Macaca mulatta: one gene and its partners. The protein of the gene in region 1 interacts with the protein of each later gene in a pairwise test. Links are inferred from orthologs where the notes say so. Each region holds a gene or a part of one and is shown on either strand. Other genes may lie near its edges.

The links.
Region 2: the proteins of SH3BP5 (region 1) and SOS1 interact in a two-hybrid assay, tested with the Homo sapiens proteins (2 studies listed by BioGRID and IntAct). The link is inferred for Macaca mulatta from reciprocal best matches to the Homo sapiens genes SH3BP5 and SOS1.
Region 3: the proteins of SH3BP5 (region 1) and TNKS interact in a two-hybrid assay, tested with the Homo sapiens proteins (2 studies listed by BioGRID and IntAct). The link is inferred for Macaca mulatta from reciprocal best matches to the Homo sapiens genes SH3BP5 and TNKS.
Region 4: the proteins of SH3BP5 (region 1) and EXOC1 interact in a two-hybrid assay, tested with the Homo sapiens proteins (2 studies listed by BioGRID and IntAct). The link is inferred for Macaca mulatta from reciprocal best matches to the Homo sapiens genes SH3BP5 and EXOC1.

The regions. Positions count from the first base shown.
Region 1 is NC_133407.1:33,152,552-33,158,766, reverse strand, and holds the start of SH3BP5 (SH3 domain-binding protein 5), read right to left. Parts: upstream 3,719-6,215; 5' UTR 3,541-3,718; coding exon 3,403-3,540; intron 1,695-3,402; coding exon 1,632-1,694; intron 1-1,631. UniProt on the Homo sapiens protein: Functions as a guanine nucleotide exchange factor (GEF) with specificity for RAB11A and RAB25. Inhibits the auto- and transphosphorylation activity of BTK. Plays a negative regulatory role in BTK-related cytoplasmic signaling in B-cells.
Region 2 is NC_133418.1:85,933,452-85,939,105, forward strand, and holds part of SOS1 (son of sevenless homolog 1), read left to right. Parts: intron 1-412; coding exon 413-635; intron 636-2,076; coding exon 2,077-2,196; intron 2,197-5,499; coding exon 5,500-5,654.
Region 3 is NC_133413.1:11,722,453-11,728,855, reverse strand, and holds the start of TNKS (poly [ADP-ribose] polymerase tankyrase-1), read left to right. Parts: upstream 1-2,705; 5' UTR 2,706-2,711; coding exon 2,712-3,384; intron 3,385-6,403.
Region 4 is NC_133410.1:77,576,341-77,581,994, forward strand, and holds part of EXOC1 (exocyst complex component 1), read right to left. Parts: intron 5,572-5,654; coding exon 5,495-5,571; intron 4,344-5,494; coding exon 4,115-4,343; intron 1,201-4,114; coding exon 1,017-1,200; intron 1-1,016.

The DNA of each region.
Region 1 (6,215 bases):
AGAACATTCTATGATGATAGTAGTTTAATACAGTGGCAACTAGACTGTTTAATATAGTGGCAACTGGGCTCTTGAAACGTGGCTATTATGATTGAGGAACAGAATTTTGTCTTACTTAATTTTAATTAAACTCATTAGCCAGGCATGGTGGTACACACCTGTTATCCCAACTACTCAGGAAGCTGAGGAATGAGAATCACTTGAGCCCAGGAGGTGGAGGTTGCAGAGAGCAGACATCGCACCACTGCACCCCAACCTGGGCGACAGAGTTAGACTCTGTGTCGAAAAAAAAAAAAAATTAATTAAATTCAAATAGCCATACGTTGCACATGGCTACCATATGGGACAGCATAGCTCTAGGCTGGTGTGACAGGATGGAATGAGATAAAACGTGTAAAAAACAGTCTGTAAATGCTAAAGCCCTATAGGAATGGTAAGGGTTTTGTTGTTTAATGCATTAGAAATCTGAGATCCTAAGAGGTTTCGGTTACCGCACATCACAGACAGACTCAATTCATAAGTGAAAGAAATGTAAATAAACTAGATTTTACTTCACTTAGGGAGAAGGACAGCCCGTGTTCTTGTACACCTACGATGGAAATGGAGGTGGTGAGCGATAACCCTTCACACAGCTCAGAGCAACAGACTTTTTAATCCACATTGCTACATCCAGATTTGGTAACTCCAGGGCCTACGCATGCAGCAGAAATCAAGGCTGCCTGTGAATCCTGGCAGATTATATTCCTGTCTCCCACACCCTCACTCTTAGGGACCATGTGCTTCTTGTCCCTTCCACTGACTTTTGCTATTTCTCCTGCTACAGAAACAGACTTTGCCAACAGCTCCCTGCACTGGGAAGCTGCGCTGAGAGTCCCTTCCAGGCTCTGACAGTCAATTCAGTCTCCTGAATACATACAGTGGTTGTTCAAATTTGCTGATGGGTGGTAAAAGCAACCACTACTGGAAAGGGGTGGAAACTAATCAGAGGCTGTGATGAATGCTAACTTGTTTACACTCCGGTTGGAAAATGCACATGAAACCTAAATCAAGTTTTAGTCTTCCAAGATTTTTCCCAGTAGGAAAGGCCTTTCCAGTCTAAACAGCTTTTTGTTACCATTATAATTATATTCTATGCACAAGCAGACAATAAAGAAATGAGCAGGAAAGCAGAAGGTGGGGGTGAGTTATTAGGACAGGAAAGTCAAGAAATGGTCGAAGTCAGAGGAAACAACACAACCTTTCCAGGACAAATGGCAGGAACCGCCCTGAACATGTAAGAGATTTTGTGAGCTCATTCATTATTCTTCATTAAAGAGTTCAGCTAATTTTCCTCTCTATCCTTTCAGTCACATGAAAACTTGGGGCTTAGGCGTTGTGTAACGCTCTGCACAGACTTGATTTAGGCCCCATGGAGCTTCCATAATGAAAAACAACATGTGAAATTGGATCCACATGCGTTCCGCCCACAGGTTGAGCTCAGTGGTGTATTTTATTCTGTCAGGGAGCTGTTGCTCAACTCCCAAGGAGGGGGGTCCAGCAATAACCCTCCAGCTATGAAGACAAAATTAACCAGCCTTGTGCCGGTGTGAGTGACATCACTTCACCAAGAACAGGAACTCAGCTCTCTGTACCTCGAGTTCAGTCTCCCGTCTGTTGATATCATCCGTGGACTGATTTAACTTCTCCAGTTCTCCCTGGTGAAGAAAAGAGGGAGAGAAAAAGACTTACGGGATCCGTCTTTTGTTTCCAATATAACTCAGTCCATAACCTGAAAAATTATCCCAGCCCAGTTTGCAGGAAAAGGGAAGAATTGGTATTAATTCTTAAGGCAAACAGTTGAGGCTTAGCTAGAAAAGCAAATGAATGTCAGCATTTCTGAAACCATTTTCTTGAGGGTATCCTTTTTGACAATGTCTTCAGAGACATTTGGAATTTGTCAGAGGTCAAATATTCCAGGTATGTGCCTTCAGGTAAATCCCACCTGTTACAAATGGTTTAATGGCCTCATCAAAACAGCACCATCTGCCTTGAGCAAGAACTTTGCTTAGAAAACAATAAAAGACAATAAGCAAGGCCAGGCCAAAAATATAAACCCAGTGAAATCATCAAGGGCAGAATTCTGGTATTAACTCACCAGAATTATTTTTCTGTAAAGGGTGAAAATCTTTTCACACTGCCAATTATTCAACCTACTTAGCTGGATGTTTTAAACTAGCTTTAATCCCATTCATTTCAATAAACATTTACAAACTGACATTTTGTAAAAAGCATCCAACATGAACTTAACTCATCTTTACTATGCAAACAAAGGATCTTGCTAACATAATCCCATACCAATAACACACGATTTATTCCAAACCAATTATTTTAATTAATAGCATTCCTAATGCAAGGTTTTTTTTTTCCACCTGATCTTTATCTTGCTAACCTGACAAAACAATTCATTTAAACCCTAACCACTGAGTTAAGTGAGCTTTTAAATTGATCTGTGCACTAAAAAACCAATTAGGGATCCAGAAATTACAGAGCATGCTTAAAAGCAATTTTTTAAAAATGATTTACTGAAAAGGTAGAATAAAACGGGTCTTAGAAAGGGATCTGCTCTGCTTTTTGCTTCGGGGTGAAGAGGTTAAACTGTCACTCCTAGATCTCGGCTTGGAAATTGTTTTTTAATCATCTCTCTTGGAAATGGAGGCACAGTCAGCCAGCCCAATCCCCTCGCCGCCTCCACGCGTCAGCTTTGCGCATCAGTTGTCCCTGATTTCTGTTCATGCCCAGCCTCACAACAAGGAAAAGCAGGGTTTTAAGCAATTTCAGGCCAGGCGGAACGTTGAGCCGGTGGTGACAGTAAGACGCTCAGTTCTCTAACAATGAATCAGAGAAGGAAAACGGCTCAGGCCGGGCACCTTGGCAGGTGAGGACTCTGCACCCGGGGCACCAGTGCCAGCCCGCGCTGCAGGGGCGGGCAACGCCCACCCGCCTACGGTGCCCGGCGCCCACGCGGGCGACCCCTCCTCGCAGAGCCTGGAGGCCATGCCTTGCCCGCGGTGCCGTGGTGGCCGGGCGGGGGGTACCCCCGAGGATACCATGGCGCCCCCGCCCCCTTTTTCCCTTTGTTGCACATCCGCCCGAACCACCAGGCACTCTGCGGCGACCCCGATCCTGCTAGGGGTCTGCGGGGGGCTCCCCGCAATAGAGTCAGGCCGCATCCACGCGGGCACTGTAGCCTCCTCATTGTGGAGACGATGAAACAGAGCATACAGATCGTCTCCTGCCACCGTATGTGGCCGCCAGTCCCCAGACCACAGTCACTGGGGGCTGCGAAGTGGATGTACGCGTAGACGCCGACCTCCGCAGCAGCCCTCGCGAAGCCCGGATGCGGGGTGACCCCGCGCGCCCTACCTGGATTCGGGGATCCACCTCTTCTTCCTCCTCCAGCCCCTGCTCCATCCCCTTTTCCTCCTCCTCCTCCTCGTCCCGTGCAGGCGGCAGGAGCTCGGCTGGCTCCTCCGAGCGGCTCCGCTTCAGTGCCGCGTCCATGCGGGCAGTCGCCACGCGCGCCGCGCAGTGGGCTCCGGAGCGCCCTGGAGGTAGCGGCCGCCACAGGCTGGGCTGGAGCCGCCTCGCCACAGCCGGGCACGATCAGGGAGCCGCCGGGGCCGACACCCGGGAGGCACAGCTCGCCGATGCGGATCCCTCTGGCCGCGGCGGAGCAGAGGAAATGGGCGCGGCCGCCCCCTTTCTGCCGCGGCAGTCAGCGCAGCGCCCGCTCCGCCCCCGTCCCGCCCCGGCCGCGCGCTCCTCGGCCAGTCCCAGCTACCCAGGTCTCCGTCACAAAACCCCAGCTCCCTCCACATCTCCAAGGTGGCAAATTAGGAGAGCCCCCACCCCCTTGTAACTTAGCAGCCCGGATATATCTCAACTGCGTAACGCAAGCCTCCCGCTTTCGGGAGTCCCCTTCTCCCGCCCTCCTCCGAAGCGCGTTGTGTGTGGTAGGAGGCGTGGGGTGTTTTCACGCTGAAGTCGCCTTCCGAAGCCTGGGCTTAGTGACCCTGGACCTCAGGACCAAGACTTGCCGAAACCCTGTACCCAAAGGCACATTCCTCCCCTTGAGCGAACCTTGGGAATGGCACCTACTCAAAGATTTCCCCAGAAAAGCAAACTAAAATGTGCGCTTATATAGACACAGGAGTGTAGAGAGGAGAGCCAGCTGCAGCTCCGTGCACGGATGCATCGCCGAAGGCTGCGGCCTCTCTGGGCGAGCCCCGTACCAAACACAGAGGTGCGGCGGTCCTACCTGAATAGCCAGGAAGCATGGAGAATGCATTGAGCTGGGATGCCTGTGGGCAGACACAGCCTTTTTAAGGAGGTGGCAAGTGTAACCCCTGTTGATGGGCACACTCTGGCCAAGAATTTATGAATTAGTGAGACTTCCTGCCCACCATCAACAAGTAGGGAGACAGAGTTGGCCTGGCAGACACAGCATCCGAAAAGACCAAACTGAAGAGGCATGTGTGTGCTTTTATGAAATGTCAGGGCCACTGTGATGTCAGGGGAACCCAAAGGATGACCTTGGCAAAGCAGGTGAGCACATAGCTGCTCACATCTCCTTCCTTTGAGAAATGCAGAACGTGCACATGTTCTACACGGAGGCCTGTAGCCCATCTGCTCTGAGTTTGGTGGACAAATTTGCTTGAGAATGGAGCTTCTTTCTGAGAACCTATCATCAAAACCACCTTACAAAACCTGTGTCTGGCACGACATGGTAGCTCATATCTGTAATCCCAGCTCTTTGAGATGCCAGGATACAAGGATCACTTGAGGACAGGAGTTCAAGACCAGCCTGGGCAATACAGCCAGACACCTTCTCAAATAAATAAATAGTCCTGCTTCTGGTGGTTTTATCAAAAAGTAGGCTAGAGGGTTACTCCTAGGGAAAGGCACCACCCCATACACGCTGGCACTATAGTCCACTGTCAAAGGAAAATTGTCCTATTTTCTGGAGGTAGTGCCATGGTTTGTTTCTAAAAAGGTCAGACCTGCTCATTGCTCTTTAAATCAAGGATGAGTCAGCAATTCTGTGAGAGGTGTTTCAAAGTTCCTTGCTAAAGACATAGTTGCTTTTGGTTTTCCAATGATAGACGAAGCCAGGGACAAGATAGCCATAGGGGTCACTTTGGAACACAGGAGCCACCAATCTTCCCTGGTGGCTTGGAATTGAGCCTCCAACTTTGCAGGTACATCCTAGCTCTGAATAAACTGAGAGACAGAGTTTGAAATAAACAGAGGCCTCTGGGGTCAGCCCTGACTATGATAAATGCTTCTTAGCTAGCAGAACCCCATCCTCTCCATCGCAAATGACAAACTCCAAATTACATTCCTGCTTCAGCTTAGGTCAAGAGCAAAATGTATCTGTGAGACATAGGCCAACTGCTCAAGAACATCAGTTCAGACTTCTGTTGTCTTATTTTTTGGAGATCTGGACCAGCTATAGTGTTAATCCCAATAGTGTTTCTAAAGCTAAAATAAGAAAAACAAATAAAACACAGGCAGTACTATATACAGTCAACCCTCCACAGCCTCTCAGGTTCTACATGTGTAAATTCGACTAACCACAGATAGAAAATATTTGGGGGAAAAAAACACAACAATTAAAAAAATACATATTTAAAAATACATGGCCAGGAGTGGTGGCTTACACCTGTAATCCTAGCATTTTGGGAGGCTGAGGCAGGAGGATCACTTGAGGCCAGGAGTTCCAGACCAGCCTGGGCAACAAAGCAAGACTGGCTCTCTCTCTAGAAAAGAAAAAAAAAATACAGTATATGAGAACTATGTACATATTTGTATTGTATTAGGTATTGCAGGTAAGAAATGTGGAGATGATTTAAAGTATACAGGAGGGGCTGCTCATGGTGGTTCATGCCTGTAATCTCAACACTTTGGGAAGCCGAGGCAGGTGGGCTGCTTGAGCTCAGGAGTTCAAGACCAGCCTGGACAACATGGTAAAACACCATCTCTACAAAAAATCAGCCAAGTGTGGTAGCTCATGCCTGTAGTTGCAGCTATTTGGGAGGCTGAGATGGGAAGATTGCTTAAGCCCAGGAGGCGGAGGTTGCGGTGAGCTGAGATTGCACCACTGCCCTCCAGCTTAGGTGACAGCAAGACCTGTCTCAAAATAAATAAATATATAAATAATAAAGTATACAGGAGGG
Region 2 (5,654 bases), on another chromosome or scaffold:
TGGTTTATAAAATGCAATGTGAATTAGATTAATAGTGTGTATAATCTATCCTTATAAATCTTGTGATTTACATAAGATATACCTTTTGGAGGATTATAAAATAATACATTAAACTGAAGATCAGAACAATGGGGTGGACAGTCTCTACAAATTAAGTACTTTCTAATTTTATTTGGAAAGGATCTGGAAGAACACGTGCCAGGCTACTAACAGTGGTTACCCATGTGGAGAAGAGTAGTAAGATTAGGATGGGGGCCGGGAAATGGAAAAAGGGAACTTGTATTTTTCATTTTGATCATTTGAACTTTTTATAGCAAAGATACGTTCAGGTATCATCTGTGTGATTTTAAACCATTTTAAAAATATTAAATAAAGAATATTTAAATGTTATTTAAAATATAATGTATTGCAGGTAAAGCAATGAAAAAATGGGTTGAATCCATCACTAAAATAATCCAAAGGAAAAAAATTGCAAGAGACAATGGACCAGGTCATAATATTACATTTCAGAGTTCACCTCCCACAGTTGAGTGGCATATAAGCAGACCTGGGCACATAGAGACTTTCGACCTGCTCACCTTACACCCAATAGAAATTGCTCGACAACTCACTTTACTTGAATCAGATCTATACCGGTATGTACTTTAACATTCAAGCTGAAAAATCATTTCAAAAGAGTGAATTTTTAAAATGAAATACTGATTTCTGCCTTACAGGGTTGTCCTAAGACTTAACTGAAATCGTACATGAAGTGTCTAGTAATGAGGCCAGGCAGGCACTTCCTGTTCTTTCACTCCCTTGGTCCCTCCAGCTGAATTTACACCTTCTGTCTTTCTGTGGTCACCCCTAGTTGGTAAGGCTAGGTTCAAATCCTGGCTTTACTAATTGCTGACCCTGGGCAACTTTAACCTCCTTGTGTAACTTTATCCTTCTGCCCCTTATTTTCCTCAAGAGTAAAATGGGGCTACTGATAGTACGTACTCCTGGGGCTGTTTTGAGGTTTGAAAGTCAATGTATGTACATTACCTAGCACAAAGTAAGGGCTCAATAAATGTTGGCTACTGCTTTATTGTGAACTTATAGCCATTATAGTCTTTTTTAGTTTATCATACTACATTGATATAATTATCTCAAAAATGTCCTTCTGATTTTAAATGGGGACTATTTAGAATCTTAAACTAAATTATTCATTTTTTAATAGCTAAATGAGAAAATGAGCTAAATTTATAGATCTCCCACTAAAAATCATATTTCTGAAAATTACAGTATTAGAATCTATTTTGTTTATTTCCTAGGACCCTTTTGTGGTAGGTTTTTTTCCTCTCCTCCTTTAGACCAAAAAAAAAAAGATGTAGGAATTGCATTGATTACTGTACCCTCTTTGAACTGATTTATAACAGATATCATTACTTAAATGTCTACTTTGTCACCCTAATTTATTAATAATGTTTATAAATGCTGGAAAAGATATTATGGAGGAGTTTCAACCTTGCCCAAAGCAAAATGCTACTATAAAGCAACACTAAAAGTACACAGGTATTTCCATAAAAATAGTTTTTAAAAACAGTTTTTAAAGGCCGGGCGTTGTGGCTCACTCTTGTAATCCCAGCACTTTGGGAGGCCAAGGCAGGTGGATCACCCAAGGTCAGGAGTTCGAGACCAGCCTGGCCAACATGGTGAAACCTTTTGTCTACTAAAAATACAAAAAATTAGCCAGGCTTAGTGACGGGCACCTGTAATCCCAGCTACCCGAGAGGCTCAGGCAGGAGAGTCACTTGAACCCGGGAGGTGGAGGTTGCAGTGAGCCAAGATTGTGCCATTGCACTCCGTCCTGGACAACAAGAGTGGAACTCCATCTCAAAAAAAAAAAAAAAAAAAAAAAAGTTTTAAAAAATCCATAAGGAAATATGCATAATTATACTTTTTTGTTATACCTTGTTTTCACAAACCTTTCTGTTGGTGTAAGAGGAAAGTTCATATGAGAGTTTAGTTTTTAATCTATCTCCTTTACTTAATAAAACAGTGTCTATATTAGAGGAAAAACTGTCATGTAGAATTATGTATTGATGATTTTAGAGCTGTACAGCCATCAGAATTAGTTGGAAGTGTGTGGACAAAAGAAGACAAAGAAATTAACTCTCCTAATCTTCTGAAAATGATTCGACATACCACCAACCTTACTCTGTGGTTTGAGAAGTAAGTATTCCTAGCATTCTTACATTTTATAGCTGTCAGCTATATTATGAATTTCAATGCAATTTTGTTTTTGTTTTTGTTTTTGAGAGGGAGTTTTGCTCTGTCACATAGGCTGGAGTGCACAACATCGGCCCACTGAAACCTCCACCTCCCAGGCTCAAGCGATCCTCCCACCTCAGCCTCCAGAGTAGCCAGGATTACAGTGTGTGTGATATTACACTCACCTAATTTTTCTTTTTTTTTTGAGACAGAGTCTGGCTCTGTTGCCCAGGCTAGAGTGCAGTGCGTGATCTTAGCTCACTGAAACCTCTGCTTTCTGGGTTCAAGCAATTCTCAGGCCTCAGCCTCCTAAGTAGCTGGAACTACAGACGTGTACCACCACACCCAGCTAATTTTTGTATTTTTAGTAGAGACGGGGTTTCACCATGTTGGCCAGGCTGGTCTTGAACTCCTGACCTCAAGTGATCCACCCATCTTGGCCTCCCAAAGTGCTGGGATTACAGGCATGAGCCATTGTTCCTGACCAATGCAATTTTATTTCTATATGTCTCATGTCTTTTTCCTCTGTTCCTCCTTTATTTAGTAATTGTTTTTCATTGAATGAAAATGACAATATTTTTCATTAGAAAACGTTGAATGTTTTTCTAATGTAGCATTTTAGTTTCACTAATTATTTTCATTAACTTTTTTTGAGGTTCTTTTAATGGTTGCCTGGTTGCCTTAGAGTTTACCACACACATCTTGTCAGAATCAGCTTCAGACTTACAGTAGCTTCATACCAGTGATATATAGAAATATTACTCCTATGTAGCTCTATTCCCTTTCTCCCTTTTTTGTGGTACTGTTATACATATTACATCTTATTAATAATGCAAATCAAACAATACATTGCTACAGTTATTACTTTACCATTTGTCATCATACTCTTAGACCATTAAAGCTTTGCTCTCACCCACCTCCTTTGTGTATTATTGGCAACATATTACACATATATTACATTTCTATGTTATAAACTCAACAATGTGTTTATATTATTTTAAGTCAGTTATGAGAAGAAATGAGAAAAAAAATACGCATTTACAAAATGTCTTTAATAATTACCCAATTACCTTTACTGGTGATCTTTGTGTGGATTCGAATTACCATCTGGGATCACTTGCTTTTCAGCCTGAAGAATTTCCTTTAGTATTTCTTCTGGAGGGTCGGCTAGCAACAGATTCTCTCAGTTTTTGTTTATCTGGGAAAATCTTTATTTTACCTTCATTTTTGAACAATACCTCTATCTTCAAGTTAATACTTTTTTTCAGTTCAAATACACTATTGAGCTTTTCCAGTAAGTTTTTTATTTCAGTTATTGTACTTTTTAATTCCAGAATTTCCATTTGGTTCCTTTTTATAGTTTCTATCTCTTTAATGATATCCTCTCTTTGATGCGCATTGTCATCAACACCTTCCTTTCCTTCTTTTTCATGCTTTCCTTTAATTCTGTAACCATATTCATAATGGCTACTTAGAAATCTTTTTTGTTATTGTTGTTAAATCTGACATTTGGTTGCTCTCACAGGTAGTTTCTGTTCCTTCCCCCCTCCCCCACCCGCACCCCGCTGTAAGAGTCATATTTTCTATTTCTTTGCATACCTCATCTGTTTTTGTTGGAACCCTGACATTTCAGATAATATATTGTAGCAACTCTGAGTGCTGCTCCTCATTCCCCAACCCCCTTTCCAGGGATTCTTACTGCGTGGCAGTGGTACTGGAAAGACCCATCCACTCCTTCCCTGACCACACACACCCAGCTATGAAACTCCACAATTTGCCAGCTGATTGCTCTGATGTTTTCAACGATTTCCTGGTGGCATAAATGCTATACAAAATAATGCAATCAGATTGTGGCTCCTTTGAAGGAATGGTTTTCTGAGATTTCTGTTTCATACTTGTTCTGACCCCAGGAGGGCTTCTCTCAGTTGTCTTATTTCCTAGTTCTCCCCTGCAAACTACTCTGCCTACAGTCTAGGGTGTATCTTCATTAGATCCACAAATCTCTTCCCCATTGCCTTTCACCACAATTTCCTCTGTTCTTAAGGGCACCATTAAATTTAAACTACTTTATACTTTGTTGCAAATGACAAGATTAGGAGCTATCTGTTTGAAACAGGGCTCTAAGGCTCGGGATAATGGCAAGCTTTTCTCTGAGTGACACTTCTGCCCTAGGAGCTTGGTTGAGCAGGTAGAGTGGCAGACGATGGTACTGTAGCCTGAGGTCTCCTTACCTGCCTCTTCTGGCATGGAACCACGCCTTCAGGAACCAGAGGAAGGGCTCTTTTCTCAGTATTCTCAAAATATCATACCCAAGGTAGAGTCTCCATTCCATAAGTGGAAGTTGGGCAAGGAAGGGTCTTCCCACGTTTCAGCTGCACTCAACTGGGACTTGGCCTCAGCAACAGGCAGCAGGGACAGGATGAGAAAACTAAAGTCCTGCTCCTGTACCTCACTGGGAGCTAGGTGTTCTTGACTGCAGGAATCTGGAGTAGATGCTCAGTCCACCCTCACTGAGCTGGGAGAAAGGAGGGAGGGACCAGTCTTGGTTCAAATACCAGACTCTCTTCCCTCTCTTACCAAATTTTTGTAGATATTCCTGAATAGATGTTTCTTTTGCCATTTGCTCTCAGGGCCATTACTAGAGACTTTAAATGTGTGTGTGCACATGTGCATGTGTGTGTTTGTGTGTTTTAATAATTTTTACCAGTTTCACTCAGTGAAACTCATACTATCATACCACAAGTCCAGAATCTCAATGCAATTATATATTAGGTTGGTGCAAAAGTAATTGTGGCTTTTGCCATTACAGTTAATGCTGTTCCTAGAAATGTAGGAAACATAGGAACAGAGCTGTTCCTAGAAATGTATGCAGCCAATTATATATGAAAGAAAGAAATTGAGCATTAATCACTGATTCTTGAATTCTACTAGAATACACCCATATCACAAAGACCTCACAAAGACTTACATACATACCACAAGATAGTAGCCTCACCAGTTAATTCTAATGCTAATAGAGGATGCACCAAATACAGTAGGAAAATGATTGTTTGACTGTACCAGTCTAGAAAACAGAAAAGAGCAGTATGCCTCACTGGAGGCACTGCCTTCCTTCTATCAGTCACCCTGAATGTGTCTTCTCTATAGTAGTTATACTATAGCCACCTGCCCCCACTCTCTACATTATTTTATTTACTAAATTCTTTATAACTTTATTGGAAAAACTCTAGAATCTTTAGTTCACTTTTTTTTTTTAATTCCCAGATGTATTGTAGAAACTGAAAATTTAGAAGAAAGAGTAGCTGTGGTGAGTCGAATAATTGAGATTCTACAAGTCTTTCAAGAGTTGAACAACTTTAATGGTGTCCTTGAGGTTGTCAGTGCTATGAATTCCTCACCTGTTTACAGACTAGACCACA
Region 3 (6,403 bases), on another chromosome or scaffold:
CTACACTAAAGTCAAAATTTTAGGCTGGGAAGCATATCTATCAAGATTAGCCAACTAGTAATCAGAGATGCGACTTTCAAGCCCAGGTTTGTTTGACCCCAAGCTTTGCTCTTTCCACTGTGATATAGTGCATTCCTCATGGAATTGTGTTTAGCCACAGAAGAATAGGTAATGGCATGTGGCCTTTCATGTTTGGAGCTCAACATTAGTCGGTATAAATCTACACTTCATAAATACTTAATGTTAAGTACTTTTCCTACTTTCTGCTGGAGGGAAAAAAGCAATTTCCAGTTGATTGACTACATTTCCACACATGGTTTTCCAGTACAGTTTCAGGCAATTTAGTTTTTTTTTTTTTTTTTTTTTTTCGAGACAGAGTGTTGCTCTGTCACCTAGACTGGAGTGCAGTGGCACGATCTTGGCTCACTGCAACCTCTGCCTCCTGGGTTCAAGCCATTCTCCTGCCTCGGCCTCCCCAGTAACTGGGATTGCAGGCACGCACCACCACGCCCAGCTAATTTTTGTATTTTTAGTAGAGATGGGGTTTTATCACGTTGGCCAGGCTGGTCTCGAACTCCTGACCTCGTGGTCCGCCCACCTTGGCCTCCCAAAGTGTTGGGATTACAGGCATGAGCCACTGCGCCCGGCTGGCAATTTAGTTTTTAAAAATCCCTATCCAGCAGAGGCTTCCTTATTTTATTGTCATTTTTTTTTGTACTGACACAACAGATGCATTTTGAATAAGTCTGAACATCACTACTTTCTATGAGTAACTGGCCATTGGGAGACCAGATGAGATATTTCTTATGCCTCCCATTCCAGGAGGCCATTATTTAGGGGACACATGGCATGTTATGGACATCTAGCATATCATGTTGGTCCACCTCCACTTCTCAATGGTTCTCTGCTCTACATCAAGAAGTTAAGATTTAAAAACAGAAGCATGAAGAAGAATGTTGTGGACTGATGCACTGATGTGCACTGATGTGAGTTGCACTGATGTGAGTTTTCCTATCCAGCTACACTTTTTGTTAGGTGTCTACCGTGAACAATGGCACAATTTTATCAGACAGCTGGATAATGTTAAGAATTATAATCTGTAACCCCAGATTACATGAAAATAAATGCCATTCGTAATACTAATTATGTTCCTGACCTTATTGTATTTAGTTAGTAACCCCAAATAAACTCATCTATTTATTTGAATGGGAATATTAACATCACATAAATCATATTTAACAATGAACACATGAAACAATGTATCACCTGGTTTAATATTCTGCTTGACTCATCTAAATCTTGTTTCTCTTAGGTCATAGAATTTCCATCTGTGTTCACTCTATTGGAATAATGCTGTTTGTGTATAATTCTATAATGCCTGCTTTACTATTGAACAGTAGGTATGGAGTCTTCAATGGGATTATCTCATTCACGGATACATCTTTTGATGGCAGAAAAAAAAAGTATACATAGGTAGGGGAAAGACAGAAAAAGCAGTTGCTGAAAAATAGGACCTGATGGTGAGTAATGGACAGCAATCTGTAACCCAGGCTGGAGTGCAGTGGTGTGACCTCAGCTCACTGCAACCTCTGCCTCCCGGGCCCAAGTGACCCTCCCAACACAGACTCCTGAGGAGCTGGGACTACAGGCGTGTGCCACTTTGCCCAGCGAATTTGTGTATTTTTTGTAGAGATAGAGTTTCACCATGATGGCCAGGCTGGTTTCGAACTCCTGGGCTCAAGTGATCCGCGGGTCTCGGCCTCCCAAAGTGCTAGAATTACAGGCATGAGCTACCGTGACCAGCCTAGCAATCAGGTTTTTATCCGTTTGGGATGTGGGAGAGGCTAAGCTAAACTAGAATTCAAAAGAAAGGAATATATTCATAATTAGTTAAACGTAGGGTGAAAAATAAAATTTCAGAGATAAGCAGAATAGGAAAAAAATCATTATTTTAATAATTCACACCTATTGCACCATTATTTCAATTTTACAGAGAAAAACAGGCAGAGTGATGAAATGGCTCATATATACACAACAAATGGCAGAGCTGGAATGCCAATCCTAGCAATCTAAACCAGCATTTAAAAACGAGGAATTAAAGCACATAGGGTGAGAAAAATTATAGGGAAGGGACAAGAGCTCAAGGACACACCTGGAAAAGAAATACTATAATTTTAAAAATTACCAATGGGCTAATTATAGTTGTGTTTTACTGGCAGAGCGCTTTGTCTATGTTAGCTCTTTTAATCCCGCTAATAATTCTGTGAGGTTGGTACTATTAGTTCCATTTTTCAGACGAGGACGCTTAATAGATGATAATCGACACATTCTCTGCTTGCTCTGAGCTGCATCTCAACAGCTGGCTCTGGAGCAAGCAAAGGGAGACTGAGGGAAACAGAGCGGACCAGGGCAAGCCGCCTGAAAGTGAGAAATGCAAGAAATGTTTCTCATCTAGGCAGGAGCTGGTTCCAGCATTCAAATCTCTCCAGCCGGCCCGCCACCACGTCACAAACCCCGCCTTTCAGTGACAAAGCCCCGCCCCGTTCCTTTGGCTGTTCCCTAAGCTCCCAATACTTCCCTCTTTCTCTTTGGCCCCTCCTACCCCGCTAGCATCATTTCCTGTGCGCTGGATGCTGATTGGTCCGACGGTCGGAAGTGAGGGCGGGCGGTGGGGGCCGTTGCCGCAGTGACAGTGCTAGGGGAGTCCGAAGATGGCGGCGTCGCGTCGCTCTCAGCATCATCACCACCATCATCAACAACAGCTCCAGCCCGCCCCAGGGGCTTCAGCGCCGCCGCCGCCACCTCCTCCCCCACTCAGCCCTGGCCTGGCCCCGGGGACCACCCCAGCCTCTCCCACGGCCAGCGGCCTGGCCCCCTTCGCTTCCCCGCGGCACGGCCTAGCGCTGCCGGAGGGGGATGGCAGTCGGGATCCGCCCGACAGGCCCCGATCCCCGGACCCGGTTGACGGTACCAGCTGTTGCAATACCACCAGCACAATCTGTACCGTCGCCGCCGCTCCCGTGGTCCCAGCCGTTTCTACTTCATCTTCCGTTGGGGTCGCTCCCAACCCAGCCGGCAGTGGCAGTAACAATTCACCGTCGTCCTCTTCTTCCCCGACTTCTTCCTCATCTTCCTCTCCATCCTCCCCTGGATCGAGCTTGGCGGAGAGCCCCGAGGCGGCCGGAGTTAGCAGCACAGCACCACTGGGGCCTGGGGCAGCAGGACCTGGGACAGGGGTCCCAGCAGTGAGCGGGGCCCTACGGGAACTACTGGAGGCCTGTCGCAATGGGGACGTGTCCCGGGTAAAGAGGCTGGTGGACGCGGCAAACGTAAATGCAAAGGACATGGCCGGCCGGAAGTCTTCTCCCCTGCACTTCGCTGCAGGTCAGAGACTTTTGAATTGTTTATTAAGGGTTTTGGGTTTGGGTGCAGGGTCCAGTTAGGACAAGAAAGCAGGTTATTGTGATGGGACAAAGTGGGGGCGTGGTCATGGTTCTTCAACACCTCACCAGAAGACTAGAGGTGCCTTTCTTTTGATGGTGTCTGGGTGATGGGGGCGTGGTTGGGGTGGGGGGATAAATGAATCCAAGAAATTCTTCAGTGGTTGCACAGTTTAGTTTTCGGTGTGCAGGAATAAAGTTAGATTTGGACAGCTTTAGAGTAGTTTTGTCATTTGTGTGCTATTTTGTTTTTACAAAGGTATGTCCCTTGAGGAGAGTCCAGACCAAAAGAGGTTTAATACAACCCAGCAAATGTTTGAGCATCTATTGTAGCCTTAGTAACCCAATGAAAGACAGAAATGAAGTTTATGAAAGTTTCCCTTCTTTTAAAGAAGTTTACAGTCTAGATGGGGAGACCAAAATATGCCAGTGTGAAACAACTGGAGAACAATATTTGGATGCATTATATGATGATAGAAGAAATACAGGCTTTGATATTGTGGCCACTATTATTTGTTGTATAGCAGACCGTTTACCTTGTGTCAGTTGCCTCAGTTTTCTCATGGGCAAAAATCATAAAATGATGTTGTGCGAGCATTTGGTGAGACGTATCTGGCACAAAGTTCTCCCTCAAAAAGTGTGAATTTCTTAAGCTCTGGACCTCACACTTGTCTTTTTTTTTTTTTTTTTGCAAATAGTTGATGATTTTCTCTCAAAGACACCTAATAATATGTTTATAAAATAAAGAAAACTGTAAAAGAAAAACAAAGGACTATAATTTCACTGCCTCGATACTTACTGTTGATATTTTAAACATATAGGTAATAATGTTATATACATTAGAAACATTATATTAGAAATACATGTATTGTCCCAAATAGGACAGAAAAATACAAAATGAAAGGCATCACACGCTCACAAACATCAAAGATAACACACCAAAGATAACTTCTGTTAAGTTTCTCTTATATTTCTAATATATATATGTGTCACTTCTTCAGTTTGTTCTGTTAATAGTAAAACGTGTTGACCCACTGTAGTAGTATTTATTTTTACCACACTTGGGAGATATGATTAACCATTTTACAGATGACAAAAGTGAAGCATATATAGATCGTTTAAGTAAGTCCAGATTCACTCAGGAAATAGTAGAAATTGAGTTTGAATTCAGGTAGTTTGACTTTAGAGCTTGTGAGATCAAACTTAAACTGTCAGAACCCTGGATTAAGGTCACTTCATTTTTGTGAGTAATTGAAGTGTAGAGTTCCCGATTTTTGGGAGAAATAGTAATGGGGAGGGGCTTATATGCAAGACAGTAGCTTTCACATGTTTTTTATTGTAGCCCATACTTAGAAATACATTTTACATGGTCACATATGCAACTGAATCAAAAGCTTCTGGAAACAATACTTTCCCTTAATATATGTGTTGTCCTCTGATAGTTTATATCTTATTCGATTTCATTTTTAGTGAATGCTGCTTGTGATCCATTAATGGGTCATGACCTGTGGTATGAGAAACACTTAAAGGAAATTATTATTAGGTCACTGGATTCATTCTTGATATACAGACACTACTTACTAGGAATGCAGTGGATTGAATCATAAACAGACTTTTGTCTATTTGTTTGCTCAAGGGTCTTGCTTGTTTTAGATGAAATAGCATTTCTTTTTCTTTAGGCTAAATGAAAGGCCCAAGTCTGATTTTATAAATCAACAGAGATGTCTACTTTTGCATACTTTATTCCAAGTTTGACTATTTTAACAAATTGTTTCACCAATCAGGTTATTTCTCACCACCCCACTTTATGAGTAATCACCAACAAATGATAGTTATACTTATGTGTATTAATGTATTTAGGATAAGTCACACAAAATAGTGCTTGTTTCTCAAATCACATGTCTTCTATTTGCTACAATAGTTACTTGTTATTCTGTTTCGGAGTTTTACATACATCCAGATTAGCTAGAAGATAAACAATAAAACAGTACCGTAATTATGTTGTAGTTATGAGAACCTAACCTTGAATTGGCTTTTTAAGAAAAATTTTAGCTCAGTTGTGGAAAACACAATAATAAAATTCTCAATGATAGGAAAACATAATATCCTGTAGTCAGTTTGCAACACTTCCGTGATTGAATGCATAACATTAAAGTTTTATTAAACTTTAGTCTTCTTTATCATGTATAGGCTGAGAAATGAAAAGAATTATCAGTGACTGGTTATTATGATAGTAATTGAATTGTCATGGAATAGCTGTTTTAAAGATGAGAAATTGGTACAATCCCTTGAATGAAAAAATTTAAAAATTACAGTTTATTTGTTCCAGAAATATTTTAGTGTACTTAGATGATTGGATGTTAAATACTGACACAATTGTGTAATGGCAAACATTCTGTAAGCCTTAAGGAGCTTACAGTCTAGTAGGGAAGCATAAACAACAACAACAAAAACCTGCAAAGTATCTAGTGTCTAATCTGGCGTGACAGGAAACGTACATTATACTGTCTGTCCCAGTATGTAATAGGAGCTCTTATCCTTGCTTTAGAGCAGTTAAGGAAGTCCTTCTAGGTAGATTTTTTTTAAAGCAGGTGTTAAAAGGGTGAGCCCAAGCTAGCCAAGCAAAGGTTGGAAGGGATGATGTTAACTAATACTTTTATTTCTATTTAAAAATGAGTTTACAGTTCTATGGAATGAAATGAAACAATTTTGTTTTCTTTCCAACTTTTAGGCTCAGGGGTTATATGTGCAGGTTTGTTACATGGTTAAATTGCAAGTCTTGGGGGCTTTGGTGTACAGATTATTTCATCACCTAGGCAATGAGCATAGTACCAGATAGGCAGTGTTTTGATTTTCGGCCTCCCCCCACCCTCTACCTTCCACCCTCAAGTAAGCCCCAGTGTGTATTATTCCCTTGTCTGTGTCCATGTGTACTCAAGGTTTAGCTCCCCCTTATTTAAGTG
Region 4 (5,654 bases), on another chromosome or scaffold:
GGGCGGGCACAGTGGTTCATGCCTGTAATCCCAGCACTTTGGGAGGCCAAGGCAGGCAGATCACTTGAGGTCAAGAGTTTGAGACAAGTCTGGCCAACATGGTGAAACCCCGTCTCTACTAAAGATACAAAAATTAGCTGGGTGTGATGACACCTGCCTATAATTCCAGCTACTTAGGAGGCTGAGGCAGGAGAATTGCTCAAACTCAGGAGGTGAAGGTTGCAGTGAGCCGAGATTATGCCACAGTACTCCAGCCTGGGCAATAATTGGTGAAATGATTCCATTTCCTGCCAATTCTTTAGCTTCTACAATTCCTGAATATATGCAATCAGATCATTTATTTCACATGAAATGACATGCCCAGACTTTTCTGTAACTTAATTGTGGGATCTGACACAGGAAGAAAGCGAGTTATAGTATTTCAGCACTAATTTCTCCTGTATTTTAGTACTAATTTCCTTGTATAATAGATATGGAAAACTGAGGCCTAAATAAATGAATTGATTTGCTTAAGGTCACACACACATCACAGCCCATCATCTCTAGAAGACCACTTGTTGAAATGCAAATGTAATCTGGAAGGTCATGTTTTTGTGTTTAAAAAATGATTTTCTACAAAAAATTAGCAGGGTGTGGTGGGGTGCACCTGTAGTCCCAGCTACTTGGGAAGGTGAGGTGGGAGGATCATTTGAGCCTGGGAGGTGGAGGTTGCAGTGAGCCAACATAATGCCACTGCACTCCAGCCTGGGTGACAGAGTGAGGCCCATCTTAAAAAAAAAAAAAAAAAGATTTTCAATTTTGCATAGTCATAAGCCCATATGAACCCTAAAATGTAAGTGGTTCCTAATGATTATGAATAGGTTTTATTTTTCAAATTCAAGAAATCTTTAATGTTAGAAAACCTAAAAAAGACTGTAAGATACACAAAATAATGAACCTATCTGTTCCCGACTTCTTAGTTACCAGAAATAAAAACAATAGCTACAACAATTCTTTAGAACATAACAAAAGCTTACCATTAACAAACACTCCTCTGATAAGTTTGGTGTATGCTTTATCTAGGTCTCCACGACGCTCAGCATTTTTAAAGATTGATTCTGCAAGTCCAGCAAATTCTTCAAATTCAGCAACAAATGGAAGAATTCCGACTTTACTCTTCTTTGAGATCTTTACTTCTTCCATTTGCCTTATTTGGTTACTCTATAGTTAGGCAGAGAGCAAGGGAGATAAATAACCAAGCAACTTTAAAACTACATATAATCACAACAAAATATATAGATGGAGATATAGATATATGCACAGATATCATAGAGGCAGGATATCACGTGGTAGCTAGAACACTTTGGATGCTTACTAATTAAGAAAAACTAATTCTATAGATAATAAAACCATTTTACAGTAAGTTTAAGAAAATCAAAGTAATACAGATTATTTAAAATCAACTATAAGCTGGGGACGGTGGCTCATGCCTGTAATCCCAGCACTTTGGGTGGCCAAGGTGGGTGGATCGTTAGAGGCCAAGAGTTCAAGACCAGCCTGGCCAATACAGTGAAACCTCATCTCTACAAAAAACACACAAAAAAATTAGCTGGGCGGGGTGGCACATGCCTGTAATCCCAGCTACTTGGGAGGCTGAGGAATGAGAATTTCTTGAACCTGGGAGGCAGAGGTTAAAGTGAGCCAGGATTGCGCCACTACACTCCAGCCTGGGCGATAGAGCAAGACTCTGTCTCAAAAAATAAAATAAAATGAAACAAAACAAAATACAATCAAGGCTGTGAACTTCAAGTCTCTGTACAAAGTAAAAACAGTCAACACACATTTCTACCATTTATGAAAGATGAGTACAAGGCAATTACTGATTTTAGGTTACAGGAGAGCAGATTCTAGAGCACCTATAGGATCCCTCCAGGTAACTTCTGGTTGGTGGCCACATGGTCAAGTTTGAGAACCACAGTCATTTCCAATTTTCATCAGTCTAAAATTTCTGTCTGGATAGACAAATTCTCTATTTTCAGAGTATAGAAACAAAGAAGGAGGACAGGCATTTCCATATGGATTTGCATTATTTAGTTTTCCATATATTTATTAGTCACTTATTCTTAGTTCCACAAACTGCTTGTGCATGATATGACAAAATGTGAAAGACATGTTTCATGCAGACAGAATCCTAGGTTCAAAACGATCCACGGATTCAATTATGGTTCTATGGTTCTGAAGGGATCTAAATCTACTCAGTAGGAATGATTACACTGCCAAATACTTTTGTATTATTTCAGTTTCTACCTCAAATTTCATTGTGTTGAGATTTGGGGAGTATAACTCGAAAACCATATGACATATGGATTAGCAAAATAATTATCTCTAGGCTTCTGACATCAGTATAAAAAAACCCTATGAGCATAGTCAATTATTTCATATTATGTGTACTCATGTTCCACTTCATCAGTATTGGCAACTGTGAGGTGAAAAATGGATGCAGTAGAAAAGGTAGTGGTAAGATCGCAGGTACTAGAACCAGACTGTCTTGAATACAAGACCCATATTTTTAAACTGTGGACCTGGAGAAAGTAACTTCACCTTTCAAACAATCTACCCTATTGAGGGGCTGGGTTTAAGATTAGATGACATAGTATGTGCAAAGTGCTCAGACTTGTGCCTGGTACACAGTAAGCACTCATTTATAAATGCTGGTCTATTGATCTTATTGACCAGCATTCATAAATGAGAGATAAGATCTTATCAAAAATAAGATATTATTAAAATAAGAATTAAAATAAGATATAGAGAAGGATGATAGGTAGAAGAAACCACCCTTTAGTGGCAAACCTATGTCCTTTATATATATATGCAACTTATGAGAATATGTGAATTTATATCTTTGTCTCGATTACTTTCTCTAGTGCCACACCTTGAGAAGTGTTCATGAAGCATTTTTTAACCTGGCCCAGCCCAATTCATACATACAAGTGTAAAAAATGTAACAGACAGACAGCTGGGTGCAGTGTCTCATGCCTGTAATCCTAGCACTTTGGGAGGCCAAGGTGGGCGGATCACCTGAGGTTGGGAGTTTGAGACCAGCCTGACCAACATGGAGAAATCCCATCTCTACTAAAAATATAAAACTAGCCGGGCATGGTGGCTCATGCCTGTAATCCCAGCTACTCAGGAGGCTGAGGCTGGAGAATTGCTTGAACCCAGGAGGCGGAGGTTGAGGTGAGCCGAGATTGCACTGTTGCACTCCAGCCTGGGCAATGAGAATGAGACTCCATCTCAAAAAAAAAAAAAAAAAGTAACAGATAGTAAGAAAGTTGTTAAATTTTTTTCTATTAGGAAGAAAATGATAATTGCTCAGTTATAACAATTTATTCTTAAAATAAAATACAATTATTAAAGCTACTAAACTATTAAAATAAAACAATTAAAATAATCAAATTAGTTTTCTTATTAGAAAGTATTAAAAGAACAATAACAATAAACCCAAGTGATAGTTTCAATTGTTTCATTAAATCAATGGTCACTGACTAATAAACTGAGATGTCAGTTATTCAGTGAATTTTTCTTTTTTTTTGAGACAGTCTTCACTCTTGTCACCCAGGCTGGAGAGCACTGTTGCAATCTTGGCTCACTGCAACCTCCGCCTCACAGGTTCAAGCAATTCTCCTGCCTCAGCCTCCCGAGTAGCTGGGATTATAGGTGTGTGCTACCACGCCTGGCTAATTTTTGTATTTTTAGTAGAGACGGGGTTTCGCCATGTTGACCAGGCTGGTCTCGAACTCCTGACCTCAGGTGATCTGCCCACCTCAGCCTCCCAAAGTGCTGGCATTACAGATGTGAGCCACTACGTCTGGCCTCGAGTGGATCTCTTAAGCAACTGCCGCCGCTGTGCCACGTCCTCCAGAACTTGCCAAGATTCACAGTGTGGAAGGGAAACTAGCTGGCATAGTACCACCCAACTAACTCTGTTCATGCAGATTGTTGCCATGCCCTGCTTTGAGGGACATGAACAACAGATTCCCCAACAGAAAGCTGGAAATCCCTCGATTTAAATACATTTACCTATATTTTGCAATGACTAGGATGCTAAGGTATTTTTTTAAAAAAGCAAACTCACAATGCATTTGTCAAAGTTCCTTTTGACAGTCACCAAAACATTTCCCAATGTAGTACTTAGGAAAGAAGCAGGGTCCACATTTTGTGCAGTCCACACATGATGACTCATTTTGACTAGCATATAAAGAGAGTTAAAGCTGTCAATTTTGTCTCCTAATGCAATTAGGTTGTTCAGCTCTGGCTCAATGCAGCGAAATATTTTAATCATCATTTGGCGGATCATATCTTTCCTGTTCAGAAAACAGACAAGATATATAAAGTTATAACAAGCTTCAGGTGAATTCACCTTTAACTTTAATCCACTGGGTATATACAAAAGGACAAAAATACCATAATTAAATTTCAATTAAAAATGTCTAGATAGCCGGGCACGGTGGCTCATGCCTGTAATCCCAGCACTTTGGGAGGCCAAGGCGCGCAGGTCACCTGAGGTCAGGAGTTCGAAACTAGCCTGGCCAACATGGTGAAACCCTGTCTCTACCAAAATTACAAAAATTAGCCAGACGTGGTGGTGCATGTCTGTAATCCCAGCTACTTGGGAGGCTGAGTCAGGAGAATCATTCGAACCCGGGAGGTGGAAGCTGCAGTGAGCTGAGATGGTGCCATTGCATTCCAGCCTGGGCAACAGAGGGAGACTCGGTCTCAGAAAACAGCAACAACAATAACAACAACAAAAAACAAATAAAAATGTCTAAATATGATTATAGCAGTTTTTGATATAAAAATATTTTACTAACGTTGAGCTTTATCATTTGAATTAGCTTTAATTTGTAACGCTGGGTCATGAAATGTGCTTTGTGATTTCTAAGAAATACACTACAATTCAAAGGCTTCCCCATACCAGCAAACAACAGATTGACTTCATCTTCTGTGAGTCCTGGAGCAAGGAAGAGCTGAAGAGCCATAAAATAGGATGAATTTTAAATCAATAAAATGTCTGATAAGACAATGCACACACACGCTGGTGCTCAGAGTACCGTCAGGCTACTGAGAAACATCTAGACCCCGCCATGAGCAGCATTCCACGTTTTTTTTTTGTTTTTTTGTTTTTTTTTGAGACGGAGTCTGGCTCTGTCGCCCAGGCTGGAGTGCAGTGGCGCAATCTCGGCTCACTGCAAGCTCCGCCTCCCGGGTTCACGCCATTCTCCTGCCTCAGCCTCCCGAGTAGCTGGGACTACAGGCGCCCACAACCGCGCCCGGCTAATTTTTTGTATTTTTAGTAGAGACGGGGTTTCACCGTGGTCTCGATCTCCTGACCTTGTGATCCGCCCGCCTCGGCCTCCCAAAGTGCTGGGATTACAGGCGTGAGCCACCGCGCCCGGCCCATTCCACGTTTTAAAGTTTATTTTTTCCAAAATAAATGATAGTAACAAAGACATACTCAGATGAAACAGGCAGTGGTGTGCCACAATTATGTTGCCGTGATAATGTTCCTCCATCCAGGTCCTCTGCTTCAGCCTGCAAAAATTATTCAGGCACTTTACATAATAGAAGACCAACAATTTAACTAGTATTTATATAGCGAAAGCCTGCTCAGTCTT